Caenorhabditis elegans: one gene and its partner. The protein of the gene in region 1 purifies or fractionates together with the protein of each later gene. This does not show direct contact. Each region holds a gene or a part of one and is shown in the gene's direction. Other genes may lie near its edges.

What was found.
Region 2: the proteins of F56B3.4 (region 1) and C53D6.6 fractionate together in Caenorhabditis elegans (co-fractionation; one large-scale study listed by BioGRID). This does not show direct contact.

The regions. Positions count from the first base shown.
Region 1 is NC_003282.8:791,273-796,234, reverse strand, and holds the start of F56B3.4 (RNA polymerase II-associated protein 1 N-terminal domain-containing protein), read left to right. Parts: upstream 1-1,959; 5' UTR 1,960-1,961; coding exon 1,962-2,792; intron 2,793-2,918; coding exon 2,919-3,037; intron 3,038-3,517; coding exon 3,518-3,596; intron 3,597-3,813; coding exon 3,814-4,322; intron 4,323-4,962. Other genes in the region: F56B3.11 (Mitochondrial import inner membrane translocase subunit Tim21), read left to right, coding at 1-69, 126-417; skr-18 (Skp1-related protein), read left to right, coding at 829-872, 976-1,483.
Region 2 is NC_003282.8:9,027,150-9,033,466, reverse strand, and holds C53D6.6 (HAT C-terminal dimerization domain-containing protein), read left to right. Parts: upstream 1-1,811; 5' UTR 1,812-1,820; coding exon 1,821-1,950; intron 1,951-1,994; coding exon 1,995-3,025; intron 3,026-3,069; coding exon 3,070-3,249; intron 3,250-5,110; coding exon 5,111-5,353; intron 5,354-5,402; coding exon 5,403-5,666; 3' UTR 5,667-5,787; downstream 5,788-6,317.

The DNA.
Region 1 (4,962 bases):
TGGTGCATTTATCTATGTGCTCGCCGGGGAATTTTTCGCTCAAGATTCCCCGCAGACAATTTTCAATAAGTTGGTTTTTCACTTTTTTCCGGGAAAAACCAATTTAAATCAAATATTTTTTGCAGAGCTCTCGCATTGGTACGTGATGATGGCCGTTGTCAGGAAATATTCGGCGCCTCAATCGCCGGATTCGGCGAGGAAACGTCACGTGGACGCCGCCGCCACGTGGCACATCACAAGTACGAGAAGGACGGAATGCAGCGGATTCGGGTGCTTTTCCACGTGAAAGGAGACCGAGATGAGGGAATTGCTCAAGCTGAAATGGAGCAACGAGACGGAGATTGGCAGTGGCGGTTCTTGTATGTGGAGAACAAGCGGCGACCGAAAACTACCCATGTTTTGATTGATAATCGATAATTTCTTGTTTTCTGGTGATTGTTATGTTTAAATAGGGTTTTTTGTTGAATAAATTGCATCTAGATTTATTATTTTGTTAAAAAAAATAGCTTAAACATCGATTTTTATTCGAAAATTACTTTTTTTTCAAAAAAAATCTGGAAAGTGTGCAATCTGACGTGATGGTGTGTCTGCGTACCCGGCGCCAAACTTGACGCACAAACTTTCGAAATATTTTTTTTTTCGATTTTAAAAACGTTTTTAGCGAAAAAGCGATAAAAACAGGATTTCTTAAGCAATTTTCGGGAAATTTACCAATTTTGATTGCTGAAATATCGATTTTCAATCGAAAATTTTCGAATTTTCACACAAAAACTTTAAAAAAACCTATATTTTGTGTATTTCAGACATCAAATTTGGGCCAGAAAGCAGATGCCGAAGAACAAGAAAAACAATAAAAAACGTGCACCAGCCAGGTATTTTGATAGCATTTTTCCCAATTTTCATTGAAAAATCATTAAAAATTTTTTATTTTTCAGCAATTTTTTCTCAAAAAATCAGAAATCGCGCTTTTTTTAGTGCTCCAAAGCCGGCTCCTCCAAGCGCACCACCTCGCCTACTTCAACTGGCTTCTTCCAATGGAGAGGTGCTGCAGGCAGATATCCGTGCTCTCCAGCTCTCCAGCACTATTTCTACAACTATCAAAGAGCTAGGATATGATAAAGAAGACTGTGCGGAGATTAAGCCGATACCTGTTGATGAACATGAATACACATTGGATCTACTGATTAAATGGTGTGATCAACACAAGGGAGACGATCCAGAGATTGCAAAAGCCGAAAAAGGCAAAAAGAAAGTCGTCATTCCGTCCTGGGATCAACATTTTTTCAGTGTACTGCCGATGGGAAACTTGCTAGCTGTTATTAAAGCTGCCTATGATTTGGATATTACCGGACTCGTGAATTATGGAACCCAAACAGTCGCCAGTCGTATCAATGGGAAAAGCGCCGAGGAAATGCGAGAAATTTTCCAACTTCCTGAGCCGTGCCAGCAGCCGTCTACATCCACTGATACTTGGGCAGATTGATCGATTTTCCATTTCAAATTTATTCAATTTCACATAAAGCCGGTCTTATTGCAAAAGATTTTTTTCTATTTAGTGCTGTATATCGTTAAAATTTCATTGCGTCAATAAAAGTTCTATTTTAAAATATTCTTCAGCTCATACTAAGTCCGATCCAGTGTTTCGGTGTTATTTTTGAATTTTTTTTTATCGAAAAATCGTTGAGATTTAGATTTTCCAGTAATTTTACGTTAGAATCGTGAAAACTTCCAATTTTTATAGACATGATAGCGATTTTTAATCGAAAATTCCCCATTTTTGAAGAATTCTTTCTCAAAATGTGCAATCTGACGTGATGGTGTGTCTGCGTACCCGGCGACAGACTTGACGCGCAAACTTTTGAAATATCAGGTTTTTTACCGATTGTAATGGAAAAATCGATAAAAACGGGTGTTTTTCAGCATTTTTTCGTAAGAAATCGATAAAATTTAGATTTTCAGAAATGTCAGAACACGTAAAACGTCCTACGGCGACGGAAACCGACGATGATCTGCTCAAAATGCAGGAAGAATGGGAGGCGGCGAACAAAAAACCGAGTGTCGAGATTCATAAGATGAAAAATCGGCAGAAAGTCGAGGAAGTTGCTTCATTGCCGTCGAAAGTCGTCCGCGATCAGGCCGCCCGTTTTCAAATCGATTTTGATGAGGAGCAGGCCGCTTCCGGCGTGCTTTTCCCAGTTAAAGAGCGAAATTTCGCGGAAAGATCGGAGATTTTGGCGGAAAATCTTCAGAAATTCCAATTATACTCGAAAGATGACGGATTCCCCGAGCCGCTGGATCTTTCTGCGTATTTTTCGGCGGAAAATCCAAAAACTCTGACGAATTTAGGCGGAAAGAGCTTTTTCGCCGCGGAATTCGACCGGATCAATGGAAATTTGGCGGAAAATCTGGATTTTAAGCAGGAAACCACTGAAAATCCATCGGGAAGTGACGATTTTCAAGCTGAAAACGAGAAATATTTGAAATCTCTGGATTTTGAGAAAATTCAAGAAATGAAGCTGGAAATTACCGAGAGATTCGATCCGAAATTGCTGGAATTTTTGAAAAATCGAGGAAATAAAGCCTCGGAGGAAACTCAAAAAAAGCCCAAAAAAATCAGCAAATTCAAGGCTTCTCGGCAGCAAAAAGAGCCGGAAAATGAGCAAAAAGGTGCTCCGGAGCCACCGGCTCAAGCTCCGCCTACAAAAGTTGTGGAGGAAATGATGAATGAGTTGGAAGTTTTGGAAGAATATGGAAATCGAGAGGATCAGGAGAAATATAATCGACTGGCGACGGTAAAATTTGAAAATTATCGATTTTTTTCTGAAAAATTATAGGTTTTCTGGAAAATAATTGACATTTTTGAAATTTTCGGCTTAAATTTTTTTTCCGTGAAAAATGGAAAATCTGAGAAATTTCAGGACGCTGTTCAACTGGATCTAACCGCGAAATTCGGCCGAAATTTGGTCTCTCGACAGCAAAAAAACGCCGTAAAACTCTTCGATAACTGCAAATTACGACCGGAAACCTCTGCGGGAAGGTAAATTGTGCTTGCGTACTTTTGAAGCTACAGTAACCCGGAAAATTCGAAAAATTTCAGTGAAAACATGCCAAAAATTGGGTTCTCTGAGAAGTTTTAACTTAAAATGCGGGGTTCCCATGTTTTTTCACACCAGAAACCTTTTTTTTTTGATTTTTACTGCAAACTTTCGTAAAATCCGATGTTTGCGTATTTTTGAACCTACAGTAACCCAAAAATTCAGAAAAATCGAAGTTTAGTGCAAAATTTCGTAACATCCGTTTTTTGCGTACTCCTGGAGCTACAGTAACCACGAAAATTTAAAAAAGTCAAAATTCCGTGTAAAAGTTCGTAAAATCCGATGTTTGCCTAATTTTGAAGCTACAGTAACCCAAAAATTCAAAGAAAATCTGATTTTAGTGCAAAATTTCGTAATATCCGGTGTTTGCGTATTTTTGAAGCTACAGTAACCCCGAAAAACTTAAAATTTCTAATTTTCAGCACACCCGACCCAATTCTGGAACTGGCACGCTCATCAATCGATCAAATTAAGACACTTTATTTGGAGGAAATTGCTACAGTAATATTTTATTGATTTTTTGGAGAAAAAACCCAGGATAATCGATAATTTACCAACAAAAAAAAAACACAGATTTTCTCTTTTTTTTTATAAAAAATTGAAATTTTCTTTGAAAAATCTCTATTTTTGTCAGGATATTAAAAAAAAAATTTCAGAAAAATCCCATAAATTCTGCTAAAAATCGCTAAATTACCTCTCAAAAATCAATTTTTTCCAGGATTCCTCCTCAAAATCGATAATCTACGAGTTCGGCAAGGGTCTTAACCCAATTTTAGACAATTGCTGGACACTTATCCCAGTTCGCCGTGTCCTTGACGCAGTCGAACGCCGCCACGGTACAGTAACCCCAGATGACGTGGAAATCGTCCGTCTCTCGCTTCTCTGGACTCTCTTGCTGTTTTCTGAACGAAAATCCGCGTTTTTCGCGTTCGCCGAACCCAACGAATTCTACGTTCACATCGCGGAAGTTTTTCTGATTGGAGCAGAAATTCTGGCGGATGACGTCATCGCAGAGTGTGCTCATCGCATTTTAAACGGATATATTTTGGCTGCGGCAAAAGACGCGAAAATTGGACTCCGAATGAGCGGAAAAGTCGCCGGATTGGACGCTTTTATGCCATTTTACGAGAATTTGCTGAAAAATTATGAGCAATATTCGATGGGAGATGAACATTTTGCAATGACCATTTTGATTGCCGCTTATTTGAATTCTCCGGTTGGAGATAGGTAAAAATTTAGGAAAAATGGCCCAAAAATCATGAAAAATTTAAATTTTGAGCTCAAAATCGAATTTTTCACTAAATTTAAGCCGAAACTCACAAAACTAGGCACTTCTAGCTCAATTTCCACATTTTCGGGTAACGGTAGCTTCAAAAGTACGCAAACACCGTGCTGCAGTACCCCGATACACTGGATTTTACGCAATATTGCACAAAACCCAGAAATTCTAGAAAAAAATCCGAAAATTGCGTTTTTACAAGATTTTTCTTGCAAAAAAGGCGAAAAATCATGGAAGATTCTGGAAAAAAAAAATAAAATTACGACATTTCCTGATAAACTGCCCAAAATTCATGAAAATCTCTTTTTTCGTCAGTTTTTGAGCACAAACCCGATTTCCTGGTCAAATTTGAGTCGAAACTCACAAAACTAGACACTTCTAGCTCAATTTCCACATTTTCGAGTTACGGTAGCTTCAAAAGTACGCAAACACCGTGCTGCAGTACCCCGATACACTGGATCTTACGCAATTTCGCATAAAAATGTTAAAATTTGAGTGAAACATTTGGAAAATCGCAAAAATTTGTTGATTACCGTGCTGATAATGCGCAGAAAATGTGGAAAATCAAAAAATAAATGTAATCCGGAT
Region 2 (6,317 bases), 8.2 Mb from region 1:
CAATTCATCTGAAAAAAAAATTCGCACTGGCGAACTTTCAACTGTGAATAATCTCATTTAAATAACCGCGCTTATAACTCCAAAATCCACCCATTTTTCCTTGCTGCTTTATGTCTACAATGAATTTACTTAATGTCCAAAACTTAAGGCCAGCATATGCATTTTGAAGGAAGCAATTTTCTTTCCATGATACATTTCTCTGTGGCTTAAAATACTATAGATTATTATGGATGAGAAAAAATCTATTTAAAAACACCTTAACTTTCAATTTCATCCCTAATGTTCCTCCAATATGAAATGCTCTCAAACCAAATAAAGTTAAACATTTTACGCACTCTGGTTTTTTGTTCTCTTACTGATGCATTTCAGATGTAAAACGGAGATCAGTATATATAGTACTCATTAAAGGTACGAGACCATGCAGGTACTGTTATTTTTCGCAAAAAAATTTTCCTCAGTTGGTTTTTTTTCCGTTCAGCAAAAGTTGCAAAAAATAGTTTTCTTCTTCTTTCCAATTTTACTAGATATACTGAAATTTAAAATCTATCCGAATAAATGATTTTCTGGTTACTTTCCCCCCAACATTTAGTTCAGAAACCCAAAAAAAACGTATTTTCCGTCTTGCCGTTTTGCATTGAAAACAGAAAGAGAAACGCGTATTTTTTCGACACACTCAGACACATACACACAGACGCACACGAGAGATGTCAACAAATAACGAGTCGGAAAAAGAGAAAAAAAGAGGACGGCTGGAGAAGACCAATGCCTCGTCAGAACGAGAGAGAAGAGAAAAAGAGAAACAAAGGCACTGCATTTTACGACTCGCCTTTACACGACATTTCATCGACCAGAAATTTATTGGTTTTTTGCTCGATTTTTTGTAAGTTTATCGTAAAACCTAACTCGTAATACGTATAATAGATTTTGTAATAAAAATGCATTGCAAGGTTTATTTTAGTTGTAAAATTAAAATGATAAAATTTGTGCCCGTAAACTTTCAAAATAGTTCAAGACTTCACACCACTTGCCTTTGAATTTACGATTAAACAGATATTATCGTACTAGTTTTAGTTTCTATCGCTAATGTCTTTTTAAACGTCTTCATTTTTACGATGTAAATGTTTTCAAATTTTTTTTTTAATTGACGGCATTTTTAGTTAAAGTTATCTAATTTTTTCTCAGCTTATTATGTGTTTGACGGAATAGATAGAAATGATTTTTTGTAGAATCGAATTTTTTGTCTCAACAATTTTGGGCATGTTGAAAAACCGATGTCGTCAAAATTGTTTTGCTTTATTCGTAAATGATTTTGAAAAAAATGTCCATTTTCGAAATTACTTCCAATTATTAAATGTAGAGTAGCGCCAAAGTGTTCGAAATTAATTTCAGGACCCAAATATAGTAATGAAACTTCTCAGGAACTTTTTGAAATGTTTTATCCACTGCCTGAAGGTATTTACTATTTTGCAAGTCGACTAGATGTTTTTAAAATAATTTCAATTTTTTTACTTATATGTATTCAATTATTGTAGAGATATGATGCAAGAATTCTATAAGTTTAAAATATTTGACAGGAAATTTTTGAATGATCGAGGCAAAAAATTGGGGCATTTCCATTTATCGTTAAGACATATTTTGTGTTCGGATCAGCTCGAAAGTAAATTTTTCGAGTTTCTCATGTTATTTGCTGTTAGTTTGTGCATTTTCAGAGCTCCCACGTCAAAATGGCATGTTCTGGAGCGTTTTTGGTCTAACCATATGTTATGACGACCACGCATTTCAATTTATCCTTAAGACACACAATTTTTCAGATCAAAATAATGGTGAACTTAAAATATGACGATTATTTTACACCACTCGTTGATGGAACTCGATTGTGCAAGATTTTGATTGGTTCCGGTGATAACAAAACTGTTTGTGGACATCCAATAAAGAAACAAAAGAAATCAAGTGAGTCATTTTATATCTTCGATTATTAACTCTACGATTTCAAGGTACAAGTGGAATATTGTATCACTTAAGAGCAAATCATCCGGATACACTTCTTGAAATTGGTGGAAGTCTTGAAGTTCAGCCATTGAAAAAGCGAAAGTTAGGCGAGGAATGGCGAATTCCAGAGAATAAATCTGGAACTGAAGGAGATTTTATCAACTGGACAGCAGAAGATTTTGAGGAAAAACGAATCAATGATGCACTGATAAATATGATATGTCTTGATGCAATGCCACTCTCAACATTAGAACGTCCTGGAATACAACACTTTCTGAATGAAGTGTGTCCTACATTTGTGCCAAAAGGAAAAAATCAAATGAACGTAATGGTACATAGTCTTCATTTCAAATACGAGCAACGTCTGAGAGAAGAACTCCGAAATGTGGAATATGTTGGACTAGGATGCTATTCATGGAACAAAGACGATAGAAAAAATGAACAAGTTGTTGGAATCAGCTGTCATTTTATGAATTCTGATGGATCAATTGTTACAAGGTTTCTGGATGCTATACATATTTCTGATCCTCATGAAGATCCTGAATTGGAGATTGAAAATGCAATCAAATCCATTACGGATTATTATTCAATCGGAAACAAAGTTGTGGCAATGATTAAAGATGGAGTCTCAAACTTGAAGCTTTCTGCTCAATTGCTAGAATTTGATATATACGATTGTACATGGAATAGTCTCTCACTTGCCTCTATTTCAGGAATTAACACAATTCCAGGAGGAACTGAACTTATTGAAAAATGCAAGAAAATCGTTCAAAAAATCAACGAATCGGCAGTATATGAAACGAGTTTAATTGGAGAATATATGACCATCGATTCAGCTGATCTTGTCAAATCCGGCAAGTTGAATTGGATTACTGTCGTTAGTATGTTTGAGCAGTTCACTAAGTTGAAAGGACTACTCGATACATTTTTGATGAATGACATGGAAGGCCTGATGCTCTATCAACAAGATTACGATCTTATGGAGATTATCCTGAGAACACTGTCTCCCTTGAAAACTGCCGTCGATTTTGGAAAAGTTAGTTTATGATTAAAATATATCCTTTCAAATTGATGTTACAGCAACACACATTCCGGATTTCTGCAATAATTTCCTTAATTTCTGCATTGATTTCAAAGTACTCGGCAGAACACTCATATGATATGTGCAAGGCTATCAAATTGACACTTGAAGAAGAATTGAAAAGATATCTCCAAATTCCGACACTTTTGTTTGCAACTGTTATCGATCCAAGAGTAAAGGTTAGTTTTGTTTAAAACTATTTAACATGCAGGTTGAGGTCCTTGCCAAAATTTCAAAAAATTTTAATACAGTGCGTCCAACTTCTATAGCACCCCCCTCCAATTCGGCCGTTTGGAGCTTTTCAAAATATTTTTTTTGGAAAAGTGTTAGTGCAGTTCGATAGCAAATGTTGAAAAACCTATGCTCCCCAATTTTTATCATGATATCTCAAAAATCACGGAAATTAGGTCAAAATATCTGAAAAATGGCCGTCCAACTTCTATAGCACCCCATCTGATTTTTGACAAATTTCTGTAAATTCGGGGGTTTTCTTCGTAGTTAATGAATTTATTTTGTAAATCACACCAAAATAATCAGGTGGTTTCACTTTCACATTTAAAAAATAAATATAACCCTTGAAAACACGTGGAATGCCTGGGATTGTCCTGGAACATACTTATTTGCTTCAGAGGCCATATCTCGGCTCCCAATGATTTTCGCAGCACCAAAATTGATCAAAATGTTCTTCTCCGTCTATTCATTACTATGTAATTAGTTGTAGAAAGCATTTATTCATATGAACCAAATGGTAAAGGGAGCAACTTCAGTGGTTTTTAAAAGGTTCGTTTTAACCATGAAAACGAGCGTTCGCAGGCGCAGAGCTGAAGGTTTTGACTTTGTATGGTACAGAATTTCAGCTCATATGATTTAAATATCTTTGAAGCTTCGATTTTGATTAGAAGTCTTTGAAATTTTATTTGGACGAGTTCACGAGACCGCTCAAAAAAGAGGACAAAGGCAAAGCGAGGCCGCAAGTCTTTTTTTCAAGCTAACATGCGAAAATTTTAGACAGAAAAGTAAGATATACCTTTCCGAATGACGATTTTGCTAGTTGTATTTATAACTCAAGTTAAATTTAGCGAATTTGCTCATTGAATCTTTTTTTGGTCAAGTAATGCAAAAGCTACCAGACAAAACATTGAACCTGCGATTGTAGATGTCTGGCATCTGATTTACCCATGGATTTCCACGGATTTGTTGTTCATGTAAAATAATTTTTAATTTTACCTATAATGTAGTAATTTTTAGTCAAAAATGTATACCCAACCATTATCTCTGCGCCTCCGAACGCTTGTTTTCATGGTTAAAACGAACCTTTTAAAAACCACTGAAGTTGCTCCCTTTACCATTTGGTTCATATGAATAAATGCTTTCTACAACTAATTACATAGTAATGAATAGACGGAGAAGAACATTTTGATCAATTTTGGTGCTGCGAAAATCATTGGGAGCCGAGATATGGCCTCTGAAGCAAATAAGTATGTTCCAGGACAATCCCAGGCATTCCACGTGTTTCCAAGGGTTATATTTATTTTTTAAATGTGAAAGTGAAACCACCTGATTATTTTGGTGTGATTTACAAAATAAATTCATTAACTACGAAGAAAACCCCGAATTTACAGAAATTTGTCAAAAATCAGAGGGGGTGCTATAGAAGTTGGACGGCCATTTTTCAGATATTTTGACCTAATTTCCGTGATTTTTGAGATATCATGATAAAAATTGGGGAGCAAAGGTTTTTCAACATTTGCTATCGAACTGCACTAACACTTTTCCAAAAAATATTTTGAAAAGCTCCAAACGGCCGAATTGGAGGGGGGTGCTATAGAAGTTGGACGCACTGTAGATAGAAGTGGCTTCAAACAGTAAAAACATGTAATTATTTAATTTTAATTTAATCACCAGACACGAAATTTGCCAATATACCAAAACTTTTTTTTAGAGAGTTTCAAAATACAGTTTTAAAAGTATCTACTTTTTAAAAGTAATGTTGAAACTAAAAACTGCACATTTTGTTGTTTATAAAAAATTATTTTGCAGTTATTATTACTGCCTGCGACAGCAAAGGAAATTGTGCAGAAGAAACTTGAAAAAATTGCACAAAATATAAGGAATGCAGAAGACGTAAAAGATGTTGCAATTACTCACAACCAGCATTGTAAAACTGATGTTCAAAGCAATTATGATCTATTCGCAGAGTTGTTCAAAAAATTACACGGAGAAAATTATCAGAATTCTTGTAAAGAGGGAGAGATCGTGAGCCCACAAGCAATGGCTAAGACAGTATGTTTCTTTCAGTGAATATTTTCGAACATTAATTGATATTATTCAGGAGCTAGAACGATGGATTTCGGAGCCAAACATTGCATTTGAGGAGCCTATAGTGTTTTGGCAAAAAGCAGAAAATCGAACTAGATATCCTCTTTTATTCCAACTCTCTTCAATTGTATTATGCCTACCGGGTGCTTTGTTGAATACTGAAAATCTTACTTCCGCTAAGAATCTACTTTTCGAGCATCAAATTGGCTGTGAAGATCAAACTAATCAGAAAATATTATTCCTTCATCAGAACATGAAATTAATTGGTATTCTATGATAATTTATCTAAAAGCTTGTTTTCATTCTGAAATGCATGCTTCAATGATTGTATAATTTCCATATTGAATTTGAAATTAATATTTACTTTCTTTAAAATGACAAAAATAAACTATGCATTTTTATTTTCCAAATGAAATGAATACAACTAATTAATACAATTTTGAATGGTTTTACATACATTTTAATATTTTGTCCAAATAATTTAATCGGTCATTCGATTTGTATGAATCTTCTTAACAATCTTCTGGGTGTGATTATCATATCCTTTCAATTTGTCATCTGATGCCTCAATATACTTCTTGATGCGATTTATTCGCTCCTGCCATTGTTTTTTCAATTCGTCACTAGTGGCTTTGTCAAGTTTTGGATCTTTCAGTTTCTGCTCGATTTCTAATTTTTCAGTCCGCTGTCGGAAGAATTTGTTCAACTCCTTCTCATATTCGTCACCTTTCTTTTCTTCTTGTTTTTCAAATGTTTCTTTCTGAAATATGACATCTATTCTCCCTTATGTCCACTAATTCATTTTTGTGCTAAAAATATAAAAAACACAAACCTCAACAGATTTCAGCTCACAGAGAAGTCGGAATTTCTCTTCGAAGTCGTTCTTCACTTCAACAGAAACCATTTTGTTTTTATAGTTTGGCTGTAA